2 linked regions of the Mytilus edulis genome follow. The protein of the gene in region 1 interacts with the protein of each later gene in a biochemical or structural test. Links are inferred from orthologs where the notes say so. Each region holds a gene or a part of one and is shown on either strand. Other genes may lie near its edges. The genes, in order: flap endonuclease 1-like and checkpoint protein HUS1-like.

What was found.
Region 2: the proteins of flap endonuclease 1-like (region 1) and checkpoint protein HUS1-like form a complex in vitro, tested with the Homo sapiens proteins (2 studies listed by BioGRID). The link is inferred for Mytilus edulis from reciprocal best matches to the Homo sapiens genes FEN1 and HUS1.

The regions. Positions count from the first base shown.
Region 1 is NC_092348.1:96,437,948-96,449,551, forward strand, and holds the start of flap endonuclease 1-like, read left to right. Parts: upstream 1-5,529; 5' UTR 5,530-5,600; coding exon 5,601-5,682; intron 5,683-7,368; coding exon 7,369-7,471; intron 7,472-8,488; coding exon 8,489-8,591; intron 8,592-9,174; coding exon 9,175-9,238; intron 9,239-9,792; coding exon 9,793-9,902; intron 9,903-10,545; coding exon 10,546-10,682; intron 10,683-11,177; coding exon 11,178-11,244; intron 11,245-11,496; coding exon 11,497-11,604. UniProt on the Homo sapiens protein: Structure-specific nuclease with 5'-flap endonuclease and 5'-3' exonuclease activities involved in DNA replication and repair.
Region 2 is NC_092345.1:33,785,786-33,797,959, forward strand, and holds the start of checkpoint protein HUS1-like, read left to right. Parts: upstream 1-7,046; 5' UTR 7,047-7,107; coding exon 7,108-7,159; intron 7,160-8,780; coding exon 8,781-8,908; intron 8,909-9,861; coding exon 9,862-10,038; intron 10,039-10,634; coding exon 10,635-10,742; intron 10,743-11,221; coding exon 11,222-11,296; intron 11,297-12,174. Other genes in the region: IQ calmodulin-binding motif-containing protein 1-like, read right to left, coding at 1,143-1,238, 1,947-2,046, 2,981-3,080, 4,499-4,637, 5,156-5,318, 6,816-6,924. UniProt on the Homo sapiens protein: Component of the 9-1-1 cell-cycle checkpoint response complex that plays a major role in DNA repair. The 9-1-1 complex is recruited to DNA lesion upon damage by the RAD17-replication factor C (RFC) clamp loader complex.

The sequences.
Region 1 (11,604 bases):
TTGTGGGTTTTTCCTTGAGTGATATTATTGACATTTAAAAACTTTAGAGATGACTTTGATTTTACAGCAGATTTTAGAAGATCAATCCAATACGAAGAGATAGATTTTCTTACAATATTTTTCCACTCGATTTTCCCCGGAGGCACATTAATAAGATCATGTGGTGATGGTAAGCCATACTGTTCTGTTAAGTCAATAATTTTGACAAACCAACTATTTGAATCCCTTGGCATTACAGCCAGTTGTCTTATAGCAACATCACGCTCGACAGAACCATGGTTTCTGATGATATTTCCGAAAAAATTCAGCATACGCTTATGCAATTCAGCCTCAACTGGAATTTGACCGAGAAGTAAGTAGACAGCACTAGTGGAAGTGCGCTCTGGCAAATGCTGGATCTGCTTTAAAAGCTTGGTGTAATATACGGAGAGTAATTTCATATCGGAGACAGAAAGTATTATGGAGTCTAATCCATACAAAAGTCTGGGTAGCACATAAATTTTCACCAGGTGCATAGAGACTTTAGGGTTAAGTCCATTCAAACCATGGAGCCCAGCTCCCATGAGGGCATACACTGTTTTCCTAGCTGTCTGAATTCTATTAGGTACACAATCTTTCACACCATATTTAGAATTGACATCATGATCTATACCAAGATGAGTCGCTTTAACAGAATTTTGAAGAGGTTGACCATTCAGTGTAAATAAATGTTCAGTTTTACTTCCATATTGTAGAGTACATGACTTCTGGCTACTAATTATGTAGCGATGTTTATTTATATAATCAGACAAGACATTTAACATTGTTTGCATCTCATACGGGTTGTTGGAAATCAGAGTAACATCGTCGGCAACAGTGGGTATTCCACAGTAAATAGAACCCAAGTGAGCACCAAGACCATTCATTTCAAATGGTTTCAGTAGTGTGTTTATGAAAACCTTATAGGCAGTGGGGGACCAAACTCCACCCTGGCGAACACCCTGGAATTCGTGAACTGGTTTTGATTTGATACTTTGCCACATTACAGAGGACTCCAAGTTCTTATACCACTCATTGAATAGTAACCAATTGTCACCGGTCATTCCACCTTTATACATCTCTCTCATTAGCCCAGAGTGCCACACAATATCAAAAGCTTTTTGAGCATCACTAAACGTTATAATTAATTGTTTTTTTAATTTTTTTTTAACACAAAATTGACTATTGACTAATCTATTGTTCATTGGCACTTTGACTGCAAATACCCCAAGAAATCGATTCCAAATGAGATTACTATAACGCAATACATAAAGATATATATGCCTTGTTAATCGAAGATGAACACTATGACAAACTAATCAATGCCAGCTATCGCTTCCTATATATATTTGACTAAGGCAGCAACCATTTGATTTTCTAGGGGGGGGGGGGGGCTATGGTTTTTTTTGGAAAAAAAAGTTTGTTTCCTGCTTTTGGAGAAAATAATAAATTTGTTTTTGACCCTGAGAAATATTTTTTTTGTTTCACCCTCAGCTGCCACTATATGTAATCATGTAATGTCCAGGAAAAAAATCCATATCCCCCCCCCCCCGAAAATCAAATGGTTGCTGCCTAAATCCATTGGATGTTGGGTGTGTAATGATTAATATTTTAGTCTTAAACATATTGTGTTTTATTAGTTTTTATTGACATTGAACTAGCGTTCAGTAACTGCGACACCAAGTACACTCATATAATGTTCAAGTTCAAGCTATAACAGTTTAATCTGTATATTGTAAATATCAAAGTAAAGCATTACATATGTCTTCATTTAAATGCCATAATTTTGAACTCATGCATTTTCATATATTTGTTTAGTATTGTTTAGTATACAATCTGTCGATACCTGTATCTTGGCATTGCACAAGGTCATGTTTTTCTATGACTGTTTGTGATGTCTTTACACTGAATCCATTGGATGTTGGATGTGTGCGGATTGAAAATTATGTCTTAGATGCATGCTTTTTTTATTAGTTGTTAGTGGCTTTGAACTAGCTGTCCGATAACTGCGAGTACTCTCAGATCTGTTCCTAGTGTCTTTTGTTGGTGGGATGTACAAGTACCCGGCCACGTCCACTGTATTTTTGTCCATCTGATGAGTTAAGCCTTTTTCAACTAATTTTATAGTTCGTTCTTATGTTGTACTGTTATACCACTGTCCCAAGTTAGGGGGAGTTTTCGGATCCCGCTAACATGTTTAACCCCGCCACATTATATTACCTACGCTGTATTTGGCAAAACGTTTAGGAATTTTGGTCATGCTCTTCAACTTCGTACTTTATTTGACATTTTGAACTTTTTGGGATTCGAGCGTCACTGATGAGTCTCTTGTAGACGAAACGCGCGTATGGCGTATATTCTAAATACAGTCCTGGTATCTATGATGATATACATGTATATGTATATATGTGCCTGTCCCAAGTCAGGAGCCTGTAATTCAGTGGTTGTCGAATTGTTTTACATTGTCATTTCGGAGCTTTTTATGAGGTGACTATGCGGTATTGGCTTGATGATATAAGTGTTTAACGACATTGACTGGTTTTTCAGCCCTCGCACGGTCGGTAATGTCTTTGTTCATTGTTAAAGGCCGTACGGTGACCTATAGTAGTTAATTTCTGTGTCATTTTGATCTCTTGTGGACAGTTGTCTCATTGGCAAACGAGAAAACTAACGGCCTTATATATATATATGTTTTGGTAGTTTGCAAGTTACATGTATATGCTATTTGCTTAAAGTTAATTTTTGGTGCTGCTTTTTATTATTTATTGCATGCTGCATGCCTTATTTTATTTGTTATTGCATATGTTTTTATATTCGGTGAAAAACTCATTAGAGCTTATGTTTGTATTGTTTGTCAATATGCCGAATCCAAATAAAGTTTTACTTACTTACTTACTTACTTATGTACAAAAAATGAACGAAAAACAAATATGTAACACATAAACAAACGACAACCACTGAATTACAGGCTCTTGACTTGGAACAGGCACATACATAAATAATATGGCGGGGTTAAACATGTTAGCGGGATCCGAACCCTCCCCCTAACCTGGGACAGTGGTATAACAGTACAACATAAGAACGAACTATAAAAATCAGTTGAAAAAGGCTTAACTCATCAGATGGACAAAAATACAAGTGGACGTGGCCGGGTACTTATACATCCAGACACAAAAAGACACAATGTACAGATCTGAGAGTACTCGCAGTTATCGGACAGCTAGTTCAAAGCCACTAACAACTAATAAAAAAATCATGCATCTTCTTTTTTATATCTAAGACTAAGCTATCAATCCGTACACATCCAACATCCAATGGATTTAGTGTAAAGACGTCATAAACAGCTAGAGAAAAACATGACCTTGTGCAATGTCAAGTTACAGGTATTGACAGATTGCAGATTCTTGAATATGAATATGTATATGTATATAAAAGAGGGACGAAAGATACCAAAGGGACAGTCAAACTCATAAATCTAAAACAAACTGACAACGCCATGGCTAAAAATAAAAAAGACAAACAGAAAAACAATAGTACACACGACACAACATAGAAAACTAAAGAATAAACAACACGAACCCCACCAAAAACTAGGGGTAACATACTAGTAATATTTAGTTAGCTTTTAATTTTCTGATAACAAAATCAATATTTATACCAATAAAAACAATATTCAATGATCTTATTACAGTGTTGAATAGGTAACCTTTTAGAATAAGTTTATTTAAAGGAGCGACAAGTTTACATGGATCATTTCTAAATTTCCGGGCACGGTTAACAACACTGATTTCCGTAAAAATGAGGATGTGCAAACTTCAAAACCAAATCTTTATATTTATGGAAAAATTTAGTAAAGGTTTTAAGTAATTTATGGTAACGATATCCCGGGTTTAATAATTTACCAGTAATACATAGATTGCGTTCGTTAATATAAAAAACGTCACAATATAAATGGGCATAGCGAACGAGCTGTGAAATATAAACACCGTAAGATGGTGTCAAAGGAACATCACATCTTAGAATGGAAAATTAACAATAGATTTTTCTTGTCGTAAATTTTAGTGTGGAGTTTCCCGTTTAAAACCGAAATATCTAAATCCAGCAAAGGACAGATATTACCGTATACATTTAATTTATTCAAAGTAAGTTCCTTGGGGTAAATTTCAGCTGTATATTGAGAACATTCTTGATTATTAACTCTTTTAGATAAACAGCTGCTGTTTTATGGAATAGTTTACCTGATGATTTTAGAGAATTGCTTATTTTAGCCAATTTAAATATGTTTTAAAGGGTCCTACTAAAAAAGCGCCCGGGAGCGCCCGAGTAAAGACAAAGCGCCCGGGGAAAAGAAAAAAGCGCCCGGGGAAAATATATAGATTTTTTATTGGTATGAGACAACTTTGTGCCGATGAAATAAGTAATGCACATTGTTCTTTTTTTAAATTTTTGACAAGTATTTTGCAAATTCAAATAATAGACATTTGAAATAAAACAATTTTAACAATACTATAATTTTTTATGAATACTATTTCGAAAGACAGGTAATAATGGATCATTGTATGCTAAAAATTTATAAAATGTTAGACATCAAAATACATGTTTTGCAAAAACGATATCAAAATGAAAAATGCAAAAACACAGATAAATATTGTAAAAGTGCAACAACACTTTAGATGTAGCATCGTAGGTATCCCCTTTTATATTAAGGACAAAACAAGCAATGATTATTTTTTTATTCAGGAAAACATTTTTTATTATAAAATATTATTATTTTATTCTCCCGGGCGCTTTTTTTCTTTCCCGGACGCTTTTTCTTTTCCCGGGCGCTTCCGGGCGCTTTTTAGTAGGAAGTCATGGAATGGAAATGGCTGTAATTGCACAGTTTGTGCAGATTTTTATTTAATATATGATGCTAAAATTATTTACCATTTAGACATGTTAGATCGGCATACCCTATTTGGGGATATTGTATGCTGCCGTTTATTTTACCAGCATTTAATGATGCCTAGTTTACACTTATATGCTTTTAGCTTTAATACCTAGCTTTTTATGCTTATATTCTGCTTATTATTAATATACATGTTTTTAGTGCTTCATTTTGTGCTGTCACGGTAATTTATTGCCTGTGTGTGTTGTATTGATATAAATGTCTTGTATGTCGGTTAAAATATAAAAAAAGAAGAGACTGTATGTTGCAAATGAGCTCATAAGAGCTCATTAGAGCTTATGTTGTCTCTGCTTGTATACTTTGCCGACTCTAAATAAAGCTTATTTATTATTAATTATTTATGCAGAACGTTGTGTTGTTATATTTTGATAAACTTTTTGTTGGTCAACAGATATACTGTACAAATTTCCAGCAATATCATTTTAGCCAAAAAATCGAATATATTTCTTCATTCAAAATTGTTTTATTTTTATCAAATAATTATACTGCATTCCCATGTTGAATATAAAAGAATCAGACAACAAGTTTTAACATTGGTTTTTATTCGTAAATATTTAGAAAGAACTGGTTCCCGTAAATCATTGTTTTTGTTTATTTGGCGGGAAAGCTGCTAACTCATCACTTATTTTTAATCATGGGAATTTTAGGATTGACAAAATTGCTTGGTGATCATGCTCCTGGCTGTATGAAAGAACAAGAGATAAAGAATTATTTTGGTGCGATTCATTTAAAAAAAGTATTAACTATTTGTTGACCAGAGACCAGTGTTGTTGAGCTAGATTTAATTGCCCCCTCCCCTTAAATCTATTTATTTTCAATCTGCCATATACCTTATCGCTTTTTATTCCAATCCAGGTAAGATCTCAAATTATACAACATTTTCATATAGGTGGAACTATCTGGAGCCATGTTTAAGCAATATGTAAAGCATCTACATCTACATTTACATTGTTAATATGCAAGGCAGTGTCTCTGCTTACTTGAGAGGGGTACGAATAGTCAAATTGCCATTTGTAAGCTTCGCGTTCCTACATCCGGTTTTATAATAGAATGCCATCAAAATGGGAATGAAACGTGAAATATAAATGGAAATCCCCATACTATCGATAGTTTCCGTATATATTTCATGTTTCATTCCCAATCCAATGCCATTTTATTATAAAACCAGATTCGGGTAATCGTAGCCTATATACGGCAATTTGACTATTTGTGGGTATGCGCAGACTGCAAAAAGACTAAGGGTCTAAGACCCACCACCCAAGTACTAATTAATTCATTCAATATGGTGCTCATTAAAAACATGCAGGTCTGTTCACAATACGTTTTATCCGTTATACATCCAGTAGAAGTCAGATGGGGAATGAGTGCACCAGACCTTTAACGGATGAATAATGGACAGGTGAGGGATTCAAAACTGGCACAGAACGGACGAGTACCGTGTAAAACGGACACCTGCAGGATGTACATCGGACACTGCATCAGTTGAACATTCTCAAAATTTTCCAAAAAAGAGGATGGACATCAATGGATAAAATGGACCTTGAACAGACATGGAACGGAAATGAACAATAATGAACAGACATCGTAACAGATAAAAAACGGATGTCTAATTGATATGAACGGTTTGAAAGAACGTTATTGGTTCGGCGACTGTTCACGCTCTCCGTTAAGGTGTGACCTGGACTTAATGCAAATACTTTTCAAATAGGCAGTCACAATAAATTATAAACACTTCAAGCAAATAAAATTTAGAATGGAAATGGAGATTTAACAAAGACTTTGAATGATTTTAAGAAGACTTTGAATGGCGAGAATTGGAACCCGTATAAATTTATATGTTTATGTTAATTGTTGAGCTGTGCACACCTGAATAAGTTCTATTTTTATAAATATAAGATATATTAATATATTATAATGTGATCATTTTCGATGAGAAATTGCATTGCTACATTCCAAGATCAGGGGTCAGTAGAAGCCATTGGCTTATTTTAAGGACCCGAAGATATAGGTATAAAGGTATAAAGCAGTCTGGCTTTAGCTGGCGTCTTTTTATATGCTCATTAAGGGGACATTATGGTATACCATTGTCCGTCAGTCCCTCCGTCGCCAACATGTCAAACATTAACTCCAAAACGCTCTAACCAATTTTGACAGTTCTTTAAATGTGCAATAATTTTTGTAATGCCTTTAAGATCAAGTTAATTTGGAATAAACAGAATGGCTTTATATTGCTATCAGCTCTTTGTTTATCAAAACATGGAATTTTTGTCACGTCTCTTCACTTGTAGATGTTAACACAGTACATGTTTTTGTTTTATTTTAAAATATACTTCATGTTTTTACCTGCAATAGCTCTTTGGAAAGTTATTTCATCTAACTCTGAACACCTGTTTGTTTTGTAGGAAGAAAAGTTGCTATTGATGCCTCCATGTGTATCTACCAGTTTCTTATAGCTGTCCGACAAGATGGCAGCCAGTTGATGAATGAAGATGGTGAAACAACAAGGTTAGTTTCTATAGATGGAAATAAATTTTAAATATTATTCCTTAATAAGGGTATTCATGCCTACGGAATTGAATCAAAACTTAAATTGGACTCCGGGTGCTGGAGTTTCTTGCTGCATCATGTGCATTGAAGACCCATTTGTGGCCTTCTGCAGTTTTCTGCTCTATGGTTGGGTTGTTGTCTGAGACTCTCTTTGACACATTCCCCATTTCCATTCTCAATTTTATTCTATACTACTAAAGGAAGTGACCGATTTACTGGAGCTGCTACTCCATCAAAACCATACAAAATCGGAAATATTTGTAGGCATGATATGTAGTGTTTTGTACTTTCTAAATTTGTCATTGAAACAATACTTTTTTCCACAGAAAATGACAACTCTTGAGAAATATTAAAAAATCGGAGACTGTTATCCATCTGTGTCTTATAAGCTTTTGCGCATGACAGTTGACATACACCCAGGGAAATTTAAATCTCTTTGTTTCAACACTTGCCAAATTGTACCACGATTTTGCGGACATCTTCTAGTAGTAGTGTGTGTTTTATCACATGAGTTGTGAATCTCCTTACAAAAGCTGTCATATTTACAATTGTGAACATTAGGATGTACATGTGTATCAGGCAATCAATTTCTTTGTTTTTGATACAAGTTCAATTGATTTTTCTCATTATGAATTAAAAACATACACTACAGCTCAGGTGGAGTTTGCTTTGTCCATCCGTCCACAGTGGACATCAGATAAGCATTTGTTATCAATATTTTTACAAAAACAGTGATTATAGCTGGAGTGGGCACGGGTGGGCTTCCCATTGTGGGCAGGTGGAAAAAACAAAATCCACACTGGTTGTTGTGTAGATGAAACAATTTATTAGTTGTTTTCAGGATGATAAATATTTGTGAGTAAATTTCAAAATTTGCCTTAATCATTGTTAATTTAAAAAAAGAATGAAAATTCAGGCTACAATTTCTCAGATTTTATATAAAAAATATTAGAATATGTTTTTTTTCAATTACAGTCATCTGATGGGTATGTTCTACAGGTCAATCAGAATGTTAGAACATGGCATAAAACCTGTCTATGTATTTGATGGCAAACCTCCAGACATGAAGTCAGGGGAGGTTAGTCAGTATAATATTTATATATTTGATATTGTTTATTTATAAGTTATGACATTTAAATTAAGAGAGAATTCATTGTTTACGAAATAAAATTTTGCAAAAATATGCATTGGATAGATACCAAGTTTTACAATTATTTATAATAAGAATTGTTTGGTATGATTGCCAATGAAACAACTCTCCACAATTTACCAAATGTCGAAATGACATAGAAATGAAGAAATATGGGTCACTGTATCACCTTCAACAATGAGCATATCTCATTCTTAATTCTTTTGATATATATGGAAGTAGAAATTACAAGAGGCCAGGGTACGCCCATGCTTAAAGGAAAACACTATTTTTTTATGTGAATTGTAAAAAGTAAAGTAAATTATATTTAAGAATTCAAAAATCAAAAACACAATTTGCTTTGCAAACTGTTAAAAACCGCATGATGAGCTGTTGTTTTCCTTGGTCTTTGGTGTATAGTTGTCTCATTAACATTACTTTATATATACATAGTTCTGTGTAAAGTACTAATCTTAAATTATACTACTGAAGCTTATACCTTGTTAAAATGTATATGCATGTTGCTTTACAGTTAGAAAAGAGGAAAGAAAGAAGAGAGGAAGCACAGAAAGCATTAGAGAAAGCAGAGGAAGCAGGTAATACTAGTTAAATCTAAGTAATATAATCACAAAAAGTTTCATAGAATGTAAAAACTTAGAGAAAAATATTATAAGTATCATTAATGTAGCAAACCAGTTTTTCTTTTAAGATCATTGTTGTATTCCTTCATTAATACACACCAATCTAACATTGTTTTTAGTTTGTACTAGTTACAATAAGTCCTTTGCTTTGAGATATATTTTTAATAATTGTCATTTTATAGTTGTTGAAAATTGTGAAAGAATAATATTTTTCTTTCATCAGTTCTATTTGACTACATTTGTTATTTTTGTATATATATATGCATGATGTAAACATTATGTTGAGGGTCCAGCTGAACCTCACCTCCAGGTGCAGGATTTTTGCTGTGTTAAAGACCCATGGTTGGCCTTGGGCTGTTTTCTGACGTTTGGTTGAGTTGTTGTCTCTGTGACACATTCCTAATTTCCATTCTCAATTTCTTTAACTTTATAATTATATTTGTTTAAAAAAAAGACTTCTTTATATGTAAATCAATTATTCATTTAACAAAGGTTAATACAATTTACAGGAGATGAAGAAAACATAGAAAAATTCAATCGTCGTCTGGTGAAAGTTTCAAAGCAGCATAATGAAGAATGTAAAGAACTGTTGAAGTTGATGGGAGTCCCATTTATAGAGGTAGAGTTAATATAAGATCAATGTAAATACTATATAGAGAGATAAGTCCTGCATTATTTGCATATAAGTTATAAAAGTGTTTATAATTGACAGCTCTAAAGTACTTTGTGATCAGATTATTCGAATTAATCAATTGGAACTTTCCAGCAGATACCCAACACTATTTTAAAGAATAATTTGGTAATCATCAGAAACTTTAAAATAAATATCTGTATCTTATTTTTCAACCTTTATTTACAACTTCCATCTCACATAGTATTTGTTTGTCATTGAAGATCCCCCAAAAAGGTTATATAATCATTAGAAAAGACCGGAGCAAACTCAGAATGTATATGATCTAACAAATAGGGAGAAACTAAAAAATTACAGCTTGATTTATTATAGAAGTTTGTTTATACTGACAGTATATACTTAGATCATATATTTGAAGAGATCAGCTTAGATTCCAATATACCCGGTATATGGGTTGTTTTCTAAACCCTATTCCCTGACTAGATGGAAAACCAACAAATCCCCATGACCTAAAACAAAGAAATAAAATATGAGCATAGTTTGTCTATGATAGTAATTGTTCTGATGTGACTTTCAATGTTATTTATGACAATCTTATGAAGTATTGTCTAAGATAATAATTGTATTGTAGGCTCCTGGTGAAGCTGAAGCCCAGTGTGCTGTGTTAGTTAAAGCTGGTAAAGTATACGCTACTGGTACTGAAGATATGGATGCTCTTACGTTTGGAACCAGTGTACAGCTGAGAAATCTAACAGTTGCTGAAGCAAGGTACTCTTCATAAATTGTTTTTGTCATACATATCCGTCCTTTTAGGGCAAATATTAAGTCAATCTTGACAATAACATTATAATAACATAAAAAAAATGTGCTCAAAGATAGTTGGGTTTAACAATTATCTACATTGATCAGACATGACACCATTAATTATATTTTATTTTATTTACCATTAATAACACTGATTTGTTTTGTGTTGTATAATAAAGAGACAAACATGGAGAATGGAAATAGAGTTGACCTTGTAAAAGTGTATGAGCACCAGGCATCAAATGACATGCCCACAATACATGATAAACTTTAATTATTTTAAATGACTTATATAAATTTGAATTTTATATTTTTAGCCAGGGTAACGGATATTTAGTGGTTTGTTATTGTAATTGCAGATAACATTTTCTTATGGCGTCAGAATAAGGTCTAATTGCTTGTAATATTTTCATTTGTTTTCATTAGTACATTTATCTACATGTTATATCTATATTTCAGAAAATTACCTATAAAAGAATTTCATTATCAGAAACTTTTGGAAGAATTAGGAATGAATAAAGATGAGGTATTTAAAATATTTGGTGGATTTTATATTTTATGTATAAATATTTTATTTAAAAATAATTTCATTGCATTGTAATGCTGAGCATTCAGATATGTCTGACAACTGCTAGAGTAAAGTAGTCTCTTTGTTTGGTCATTGAAATTTTCATTCACTAGAGAATTGAATATTAAATTTATATTTTCTTGTAGCTGAGAGTTTTTCATGTCTTCTAAATGTTCACGTTGTTTAATTGCTTGAAATTTTTAATTTCAGTTTATTGATCTATGTATTTTACTTGGTTGTGACTATTGTGAATCCATCAGAGGAATTGGACCAAAGAGGGCATATGATTTAGTCAAACAGCATCATAGTATTGAAGAA
Region 2 (12,174 bases), on another chromosome or scaffold:
TCAGAAAGAGCAAGCATAACACTTTTGTCTTTTTTCAGTAATATGCTGAGGATTCAAGGATTTTCATGGGTACCAATTTTTGTGGATTATGGAAAACTTACTTGTCGGTGGATATTTAATTTTGTGGTTTTTAAGGAAGTCTGCATACAAGCCAATGGAACATTAGTCATTCGTTGAACGTTTAATTTCGTGGTAACCTAGCCCTATAACCACAAAATCCATGAAAATTGGTATCCAAGGAATGATAATGAATGCTCAGTAGTACATCTAAATCATTTGTTAGCATATTACTTCTTTTTGATATCATATAGTACATCATGATATTTAGGAGAAAACTGTATTGTATTTTAAGCTCCGACGGCATCAATTGGGGATTTGATGGTCGCAAATTAAGTTTACTGGCAACAGAGCTTAAAATACAATATTGTTATCTCAATTCTAATGAAACTGACAGAAAACAACGTTAAAACATGTAATTAAAATCTGCAATATGTCGTCTGCGCTTGAGCGTATGTCCCATAGCATAGATGCCAACCCCCTTTTGACACAATCAGTAACAAACTATCAAATTTTCCGTATTTTTGAAAAGTTTTCAGTAATCATTCATAAACGTGCATTTACCAATAAAAATTACTGACGAGTGGTTACAAAGTGATGCACACTAAAATTTGTCATTTAACATGTTGTCTGTAGTATGTATTCCATTCATTAATTGTTCAGATGTTCTCGACTCAAACATTTTTGTTTTGTCAAGGAGAAGTAGAGAAAGGGGGAAAGCTACTTAATAAAATGTTTGCCTCTTCGGAAGTCAGTTAGTTACCCAACAATAGGTTGATAACTCCCGAGAAACCGGAAGCATTACATTGGCGTTTCCTAAATACTGGACCAGGACGGAAAAGTAATGATAAAAATCCGCGTTTTACAAAATTGAACGTCGATGATTGGGAATCCGTAACTATTCGACTTTGACCGTAATAGCGTAGTTTTTATCGCAAAATCGGAAAAACTACGGAAAAATCGTAATGGTTGGCATCTATGCCATAGCATCAATTGTCAATTGTCAATTGATGCCATGTAAAAAAGTGACGTTATCCAATCAAAATGAACGTTACAAACGTTGTTGCATTAGAATGGTTACTTACGCTCCAACACTAACTTCATTACTAACAGACAGTTTATAAATTAATTCATCCATTATACTGAGAATTAACTTCTGGTTCAAGCTTCTTAGAACAATTCTGAAAAATACAAACATTTACAAATTGATTTGGCATAATTAATATTTGAAATTATATTAAAAAATGAAAAAAATAACAAAGAAACAATAAAAATAATTTGTATTGTTTCTTTGTTATTTTTTTCATTTTTTAATAAGTTATAGTGAGTTATTTACAAAGGCTTTGATTAAATGGTACCGGTAATTTAAATGTCAGTGCCTTTTAACTGAACTTCCTTCAGTAAGGGATTTGTGAGGTTTTCTACACCTTATCAAACATTTTTTGCTATCATTATATCACTTTCTTGCCTTTTACAATGGTTAATATTATACCAGAAACAGATACAAGATGATAGCTAGAAAAAAATATCACTTAAAGGTCATAAGATTTACAAGCATTAAGAGTGGATGAATAAACAATCTTTTTTTTTTCAAATTTGTTTTCACAGAGTTTTAATCTATTCTACAGTTTTGTAAAATTTCAAGCAAAATTTATTTGAATAGGCCAGATGTTTACTCAGGTGTTAGTTGAGTTTGCTCTAAAATGCTTTACTTTCCTTATTATGGAAGTGCTACTGGTTTGATTGACATCTAAATTTATCATGATAATTATTGTCACATAAACTGCTGAGAATAGCCTACATAAAAAACTCTGAGCATCCTCCGAGCATGCTAGGAGCTTCCTCTCAAGAATAAGTCTACGATCCCTTAGATCATTAGTTACAGTTACCTGTTAACCCTGAGTATTTTTGGAATGAGATCCATTATAGCTACAACTGTGTCGGTGTCATCTGTGATCAGTAATTGTAATAACCATGGACATTCCAATACTGCAATATAGAAACAGTTAAAATAAATATTATTCTTCAATGATAACAGCACACATAAATAAATATATAATTATTAAATGATAAAACAGTAATAGTACATGTAAATCTAAATAAGGTTTACTGTGGATTAATTTATTTTCATGGGTTACATATACCAATTTTTGTGGATTAAGGAAAACTTACATATTGGTGAATATTTAATTTCATGAAAATATAAATAACAAAAAACTTCATGAGTGCCTTTGGTACATTCTAATCATTTTCTGTGCTTTATTTTGTAATTCATTTGATTGTATGGCTCAAATTTTGGGCACCATGATTGGTTAATAAAATTATCTATCTATCTACTATTATGTCATTCAAATGAAAACTTTCAAACCCTTAACTTGTATGACTAAGATTTGGATACAATGTATGTCTCATGAAAATTGTGTTTTTAAGGTACTAAGGTGTTGTAATATGTTCTATTACATTGTATTAATTAAACATTTGTGGATTCCAGCAATTCATTACGGTGAACCAGACATGTCAACAGGTCTCATCACGGCTAGTTCGGCAGCCGGCCATATTGGATAAGGGGCAGATTTTCCTAATGAAAGTAAAAATGGTGTGAAAAATACGGGGAAAATCGTATAAACAGAGCATTTGCTTGGAAACTTGCATAAGATTTCCCATATACTTTCATACTGTAACCCCTCTTTCAAAAAAATCTGCCCCCTATCCAATATAGCTGAACTTACCGTAAAGAGGCCCATTGTGAATTTGACAGTAAAGTTCAGCCAATGAAAAAACTGTTACATAAGGATTGCATTAGAAAAAAAATGTCCATTAAAGTCTAATTGAACAGAAAACGTTCGATCTTACTGCATTCAAATTCAATATTGTTTAATATGACTATACACTCAATCTTATTTCCTTAAGTTCTTAGATTTACCTTTTTTTGGCACACTCGTGTGACCTGAGGCTAAATATACAATAGATTCCAATACACCTCTGTAACATGCAAGTAATTTATTTCTTTCCTTCATGTGACCCTACAAATATAAAAAAAGGAGTCTTAAGATTCCACTTCAAGAACAGCAAATCTCTACCATTTATCATAATCATACATTTGTAACTATTAAAAAAAAGTACAGTCTGCTCACCAAGTATTATATGTCTTGTATTCCAAATTAAATATAAGTTGCCATGAAAAATATCTATCGAACCAGTATGCAACTATAGCTAGTAACCATGACGTTTAATTTATCAGATCTACCATTTATCTGGGGTCACTTAGGATATACTCACAGCTCTGTCTGGAATCTTGACATATCTTACTTGTATATGATTGGTCACTAAGAACAAATAATTCATTTGGTTTACATATGACAGGGTTCTCACTAAGATTTTTTTAAGGCAATTCAAGGGACTTGTCAATTTTCCCTTGAAAAGTCCAACAGTAACATGAGGATATTGCTATATGACCTGATAGAGCAATTCAATGACATTCATTTCAGATTACTTTTAAACTTTTGCTATATAATGATGATATACATGTATGTGTACAGTTTAAACAAAATATTTCATTCTTGATGCATTTTTGGACTCACCAGTTTTGAAAATGGTGAGTCCAGACAGATTTTCATGAGTCGAGGACTCATGAACTTGCCTTAGTGAGAACCCTGAATTATGATTGTTCAATAAGAATATGTTACTGAAAATTCAGAAATTATTGAGGGGTTTGTATTATTGCAAAAAATGTGACATAGTTGTAAACGCAATAATTAAAACTTGCATTTTGAAATATTTTATATGAATTAAACAGGATTTTTCTCAATATCTTAAAAATTAAAATTGCATTTACCGGTAAGTATAAAATAATAAAATCACAATAATAAATGCACACAATAATTTCAGAATTTATAATACTTACATCTTCGCTAGCCAAGGGTTACGATCCACTCCCTTTCTCTTCACCCTTGGCGGATTGAGATAAAATTTCAGAGACACAAGGTAAGGATTTTTATTGGTTGCAGTGGAAAAAGCGCCTATAACATGATCACGTGTAAATGTAGATAGTGTTTGTAAACAATTGCCACGTGTTTATTGTGCAACAAGTCTTTACATTCTATAAACATACGACTATATTTAGTGACAACTTGAATGTTTTTAATCAATTTGTAGATTAAGTTCATGTGTATGTTTCATGCACAAATGAATGAATGTTGACGTATATTATTGTTTCTGGCTTTATCAAGTGAGTAGAATCTACACGCTACCGTGTTTTTACCTCCAAATTGAAGAGTTCAAGTGCTACCATTGGTCAAGAATAATGTATTCGGAATGGGAATGACTTTAATCATCCGATAGATGGCACAACATTGTTTTCACAAATGTTGGCTCAATCCGCCAAGGGTGAAGAGAAAGGGAGTGGATCGTAACCCTTGGCTAGCGTAGATGCAATACTTACAGCTCTGTCTGGAATCTTGGCATATCTTGCTTGTATACGCCTGGTCACTAAGAACATATTGCTGACAGCTTCAAGTAGCACCTCATCCTCAAACTTCTTTACTTCTGCACTAGGAAGATCTAGGCCTGCACACACTTGACTAAAAATGGTTAATTATGAAAAAGTGAATTATAAATTAAATTTAGAAAATTGCTTAAACATTATCTATTCCTTGATAAAAGTAAACTTCAGAACAGTAAATCTGACACCAATATTAGTACATATAACTACACTGAACAGCTAGCTCAATATGTGACAAGGGTAAATGTTGTTTTTTGTTTATATTTATTTATCATATATGTAATGAAATAAGCCTTAGTTACTATAAACTAAAGCATAATTTGTACGCATGTGACTCATATAAAAATAAGAAGATATGGTATGATTGCAAATGATAAAACACTCTACCCGAGACCAAATGACATATATATTTGATTAACAACTCTGGGACCAGATGATAGATTTTCCTGCTGCACTGAAGACTCATTGGTGGCCTTGGGCTGTTTTCTGCTCTTAGGTCAGGTTTTTACCTCTTCAACACTTTCCAAATTTCCATTTTCAATTTTATCAGAAAACAGTTGATGGAATTCATTACATAAAGTTAACAATGATTAATACCTGAGTATAGCAGCCAGTGAAGCGGCAATTTGCCATTCTCCATCCACAATGGAAAAGTCTTGTTTCAAAACTAAAACCAGGGCTTGCAACAGATTGTATTCCCATATTTCTTTCCTAATTCTCATACCATCTTTGCTTCCAGCTACAGCTGTGCTGAGGATTTCTAATAAAATAAAATTTGAAATATACACATATACATGATAAAATGTTAATTTTTAGCTAATTTTGTGTTCTACACTTTTGAGATGTTTGGCCACCTTTTAGGGGGAAAAACATATTTGTATGATGGACCAAAATGACAAGGCCAAAAGGACTTATTGCCAAAAAGGGGCCAAACGTTTCCAATGTGTAGAACACAAATTGTTCTATTTACATGTACATGTATACAATGATTGTTTATGGTGTAAGACAGTGTATAAGTATAAAATGAAATCATGGCTGAAACTACTTTTTTTATACTAGTCCGAGATTACTCTGACGTCCAACGGCTGTTTTGCCAGACAAGCTGGGGCCGTGGGACGTCAGAGCTCGTCCCATATCAAAAAGTGGATATTTGCCCACCAAAAATAGATGCGCTGCTTCGTCGCTTCTGATGCCGACTGACGGCCTTGGAATTATATAAATCGGACATCAATCTGTTCATTTTTCATTTATCTCTTCATTTATGTAAGTTTCACCTACCTGCCAACCTTTATTTTTCCATATTTTAACAGTTTTCACAGTGACCCATCGATTTCGGCATTTTGACTTTCACTTTCAAATGGACGTCAAGTTATGAGAGAGTTCGTGGTCTCGAGACTCAAAATATGCAAATATCGATGTTTAACATTAGTAGCCAACCACGATTTTTCACCTCCTTTACAGGAGATCGGTATGACGCATTTAGTTCCGACCATGTTACAATCGGAAGCTCTCGGATATTTAGATAACTTGCATCGTAATTGAAGAGGTGTTACATTAATTATGGTCATTTGCATAAATCATCACTGTTTTCTCGTGGTCACGTGATTATCTTTGAACATGAGAGGCAAAATGCCGAAATCGATGGGTCACTGTGAAAACTGTTAAAATATGGAAAAATAAAGGTTGGCAGGTAGGTGAAACTTACATAAATGAAGAGATAAATGAAAAATGAACAGATTGATGTCCGATTTATATAATTCCAAGGCCGTCAGTCGGCATCAGAAGCGACGAAGCAGCGCATCTATTTTGAGTGGGCAAATATCCACTTTTTGATATGGGACCAGCTCTGACGTCCCACGGCCCCAGCTTGTCTGGCAAAACAGCCGTTGGACATCAGAGTAATCTCGGACTATTTTTACATATGCCAGAATTGGTACATGGCTGAAACGTTTAAACTGGAATCGACCAATTGTGAACTGGGTCCATGGTGGAAATGTCTTGTTTCCATATACACAAGTACAGATATGGACACTGAGACAGATCATAAGCAGATACATGTAAGTACAAAAAAAAATGAAGTAAGGATAGTCTTTTTATATTCTTATTTCCCAGTCAATAACATTAATATTTATCTTCATTTCGAGGAAGATTATGATAATGATTTTTTTTTTATATCTATATGTAGGTTTAAATCTTTGTGTAATATATTTGAGCATGACTGGTCTTGTTCAAATCAAAATTGAATGACTATAATAACCTTTCAGCCTCAGAAGCAAAATTGGGATACGTCTGTCTCGTGTCTCTGCTACCTCAGATGCTAAATTGATAACACGTTTATCTCTGGTAGGACTCGGCTGTCTTGACATTTTAAAAATATAAGTTGAAACTTGCCACACAAAATTTTGTTTACATGGTCATTTTGGCGCTTGCGACTGAATCAGCATTACGTTTAAAATCTAGCTGTCTAAAATAAAAACAAACTCGGTAAGCATCAAAACGAAAGTAAGAATGGCGGGAAATATGTCACAGTTCTAGTTAAACATAGCAAAATGAAGTTTAGAGGGAAAATCGTTGATATAGGATGTATTCACCATTTCACGAGCAAGTCCATTTGCATATTTTTTTATTCAATCAAGATTTAAATAACATATCCTATATATGGCACCAAATGTGCAGCTGAATCACAGGCACTTGTTTCTATCAATGGGAAGACAACTCGTAAATAAATAGTGGGTCTTCCCTAGTCTTAAAATCTTGAAAGGCTATTATAATTTTTTCTTTGACGCCTTACTCAAGACGTCATAATTATTTGGACTAGGTCTTCCCATGGATAGAAACTAGTGCCTGTGAGCTGAATATAGGTATATTGTTTTGTTATCATCGTGTCATATGTATAAGTACATCATATGTTTTTATGCGTCATATATGGTTTGGTATTATTCATATTTCATCAGTTTCAATTTCACAGGATTGATTACTACTAATACCATTGAATACCAAAAAGCATTAATTTCCCTGGGACTCTTAACAATCACCTCTGTAACTGTTTATTCCTCGCCTAATATGAGGCAGGCATTACCTATATGAAGTCTGTATGAATTATTTTTTTTTTTATTACTTCAAAATCTGTTAAAAAGAAATGGAAATACCGTAACGTTTCCGATTTTGGTTCTGTTGTTAGGGATTTTACTTGTGACGTTATTTAAGTTATGACGTCACGTTTAATGTAAACAACGAAACGTGATCATCAGTTAACGTTTATTCATATCAAAGACATTGGTATTGTGTTCCTTGAGTTCCTATATTTTACTAGACTACTCAAAGTCACATGACAACAAGACTGGAAGAAGGAAGTAGATTTCTGCGTTCTGCGCAAATGGGGGAATTAAAAAAAGTGACAAAAAAAATTAAAGATTTTAAGTTCATGAGTACATTTGTAGTATAGTAAAAATTTCGCGAGATTTTCCCTTTTTTTTCTTTTTTTTTTTTATTGATTATTCTACTGTTATAGGGGACTTCGTCCGATTATAAGTGTAACAAGACCACGCCTATACTGAATGACCTAAAGAAGTACTTCCTGAGCTCAACCACTTACGCTGACTTGAGTTTCAACCTCATTTACCAAGGGAATCAATCCCGTCACAAAAATAATACATTTTGACGTGTTTTCTGTTTCTATATTTGGGACATTAACAACACTACAATATGTACAACTTGACAAATGTCAAACCAGGAACATATATTTTGACGGGACTTGACACTACCGAATGATAGCAAATTTTATTGTCAAGTCATGGTAAATAAATTACACAATATGGAAATGGACATTTGTAAAATACGCAATCACTATTATCTTAATAATTTCTAATAATATCAATAAATGTCATTCAATGATCCATGAGAGAACAACATCTATATAGTGTAAAGAAAAGTTAAGGATACTGCTATTATAAACTTCTTTCTTTCTGTGTTAGAAGTTTCTGTTTGAAGTCAGCATTATATGAACATGATGAATAAAATTACAATTCAGCGTGAAGAGGTGCACAGTTGGTTCCCATGGGACTGCAGGTTGTTTGTTAAAATACACATTGTTTGGAAATTCTATGAAACCTTTTGTGTAAATGCAGTTTATTCACAATTTCTTAGAAGCATACATGTAGATGTGATTATTATTTATTATCATCATGATCATTATTTTAGTATGAAACATTTTAATTTTCAGGAGTAATAGGAACTCTCTCAAAACTAATTAAAAGTTGTGTCTTGAGAATAACCCCTGGTAACTGGTATTTTATACTTGCTGAAAAGTTGGCTAATGGAGGAATCCAGATCTGGTGTGAACTACCTCAGGTAAAATTTCTACCAGTATATTTAGGTGGTGAAAAGCTATTTTTTTCTGAACATTAAATGAAGTGCAATTACAAAATGTATTTTCAAACTATTTCAAAATAAGTTCAGACCAGATTAAACATCATAAAATGTAGTAAAAGCATATTCTATCATAACATTGAGTATTCCATTAAAGGTTTACATACATTGTGCTTCCTTCAAGTAGGTTTTACAGTATAAATGGCAGACACTTCTGTAAACATAATAAAATGGCAAAATTAAACAAAATCTGTACTGTTTTAAACTCTCATGCTATAAAAAAAAAAATGTGGAGCACAACTGTATTTAAAGAGTTATTCCAAGAGAAGAGGTATTGTTGGTTCAGATAATTATGACATTGACACTAAAATTTGAGCTTTTGCTCAATGCTCTTTTATCCAACATATTCCTAACATACATTGACATAAGTCTACATTTTGCTAAAATCTGCAAAAATTGAAAATGATGTAAGTTTTTTTTTTGTCAAGTCCAAGCTCTTTATACATGTCATATTTGCATTTCCGAGACCCTTTTGAGCATGTTAAGTTTAAAAATTATAGTGATATTGATATGAATGCAAACTGTTGTTGGGTAAACATTACATTAATTAGACAGTACAGTGGCTTCATCATTGTATTACAATTCAATTTAGTTTGTTTAAGTTGATACAATATAAGTCAAGTAAAATATCAAGTTTTATATAAGAAGTTAAGCGGATGTGGCATGACTGCTAATGAGACAACCATCAAGTGACCAACTATGGTTCACCTTATTGCCTTCAACAATGAGCAAAGCCAATTCTGAATGGTAATTGTTTTTTTATTGAAACTCTATTTTAAGGGTCGAAATGTACTATGTCTTTTAAAAATGTATTACCTAATATTGTTGCCAGTGTCCTTACAAATAATTACTTATTTATTTATTTATTTCCTCAGGGTCATTTCTTTGATGAATATGCAATGGAAGGAGTTTCTAAGGAGGCTAATGAGATTTACTTAGAGGTTGCTCCAGATAATATTGTTAAAGCTCTAAAAACAGCTAGCAATGCCAAGTGGATCAAGATTAAATTGACAAAAAAACATGTCCCTTGTCTTACTTTTGAAATTGATCAGGTAGGTGGACAAAAGACAAAAAAGTATCAATTATCAACTCAAGAATTTCAAATGACTTGTACAGTATTTTTATGCCCCACCTACGATAGTAGAGGGGCATTATGTTTTCTGGTCTGTGCGTCTGTTCGTTCGTCCGTCTGTCCCACTTCAGGTTAAAGTTTTTGGTCTAGGTAGTTTTTGATGAAGTTGAAGTCCAATCGACTTCAAACTTAGTATACATGTTCCCTATGATATGATCTTTTTAATTTTAATGCCAAATTAGAGGGTTTACCCCAATTTCACAGTCCACTGAACATGGAAAATGATAGTGCGAGTGGGGCATTCGTGTACTGGGGACACATTCTTGTTCACTATAGGTTATTTAGATAAATCAATAAACAGGAATGAAAGGTATAAAACATATTGTTGAAAGACAAAAAAAGGAAGAAAAAAACTATAAGAAAAATATGTGTATTTTAAAAAATAATAAATATTGATAAAGGGTAAATACAATGTTGAAAGACAAAAACAACCACAACAACGAAGTGATAAATACATGTAAAAAAAACAAAAAAAAACTAGTAAAAATATCATACAAACTATTATTGTATTTTTAGCCAACCCTCAGTTCCCACAGCAGAACAGTAGTCCATGATGTTCCAGTTTCTGTTATACCCAGAAGATTATGGGAAGACTATGAAGAACCAGAACTTCCACACTTTGATGTGAGAATTCATTGTTCAGATTTTATTCATGTGTTAAATGCTGAGAACCCGGTGGTGACTACAACCGTTTATATATTATAGACCCACAATCCCAAACAGAGGTTTACATCTGTACTTACATGTTTCGGTCAGTTTCTCTGTTTCTTGAAACATTTGTCACACTTATCTCTGCCCCAATAAATCAAAGCTTTCTTGAAAATCAGTTTCAAACTTCATGTTAGCATTGTATACTGTGTGGGGATGTCTCAAATTTTGTGAGGAAGTACACATCAGGGTAACAGTCATATATTTGCCATTCAAGTCTTATTCTGAAAGATTAACATGGTTAATGGCTAATATGGTATTTTGTATAGGTCATGAAAAACAAAATGGTATAGAAATGAATTCTTTCGTTTCATTTAGATCAGACGTTTGTTTATGCCATGAATTTTAGTTTGAAAAAAAGACTTCCATCTTACAAGTGTTCTCTTTTTCCACAGGTCAGTATAGCTATGCCGCAGATGAAGTTACTGAAGAATATGATAGATAAAATGAAGAATCTAAGTAATCACATGGTAAATATAGGAATATAATTTTTGTTTTCACAATTTTACAACTCATTCAAGCCAATTTCATCTTTAGAACACAACTAGGAACCAATCAGAACAAACTGTTGTAAGTTATTATTTCAAGATAACATGTATATTGACTGAAAATAATAGCTTGGCAAATGAGCAAAGCAAACAGAATAGGGACTATAAACGCAACTTGAATGGTATATTTTTACAAATTGTGACTTGGATGGAGAGTTGTCTCATTGACACTAATACCACATCTTCTTATATCTAATAAACTTTTCTATTCAGCTGAATTATAATGGCCATTGAAGCATAAAGGGATACAAATTTACTGATTAAGTTTAAAAAAAGAAGATGTGGAATGATTGCCAATACGACAACTCTTCACAAGAAATCAAATAACACAGAAATTAACAACTATAGGTCACTGTACAGCCTTCAACAATGAGCAAATCGCAAAACACATAGCTATAAAAGAGGGCTGTTCCATAAAACATACATGGGACCCAGGGAAGGCAGTTTAAAATTTCAACTTTGAAATTGGTCAATGATTGATTATAAATTTGATAAAAATAAGTTAATTTAAATTCAAAAATTATTGTGTGCATTTATTATTGTGATTTTGTCATTTAAGACTGAAATGCATTATTGAAGAAAATGCTGTATCAGTCATTTAAAAAAAAATTAAAATGCAAGCTAAATTTATTGAGATTATAACCCTGTCACATTTTCTGCAATGATTTCTGAATTTACAGTAATAGTTCCAACTACTTATATTGTGGTAATCAGGATTTGACACAGCTGAATTTTACATGCATGATTCATATATATGTCTTTTTAAGGAGGTTTTCAGTCCCATTTTTTCCCCACTGAGA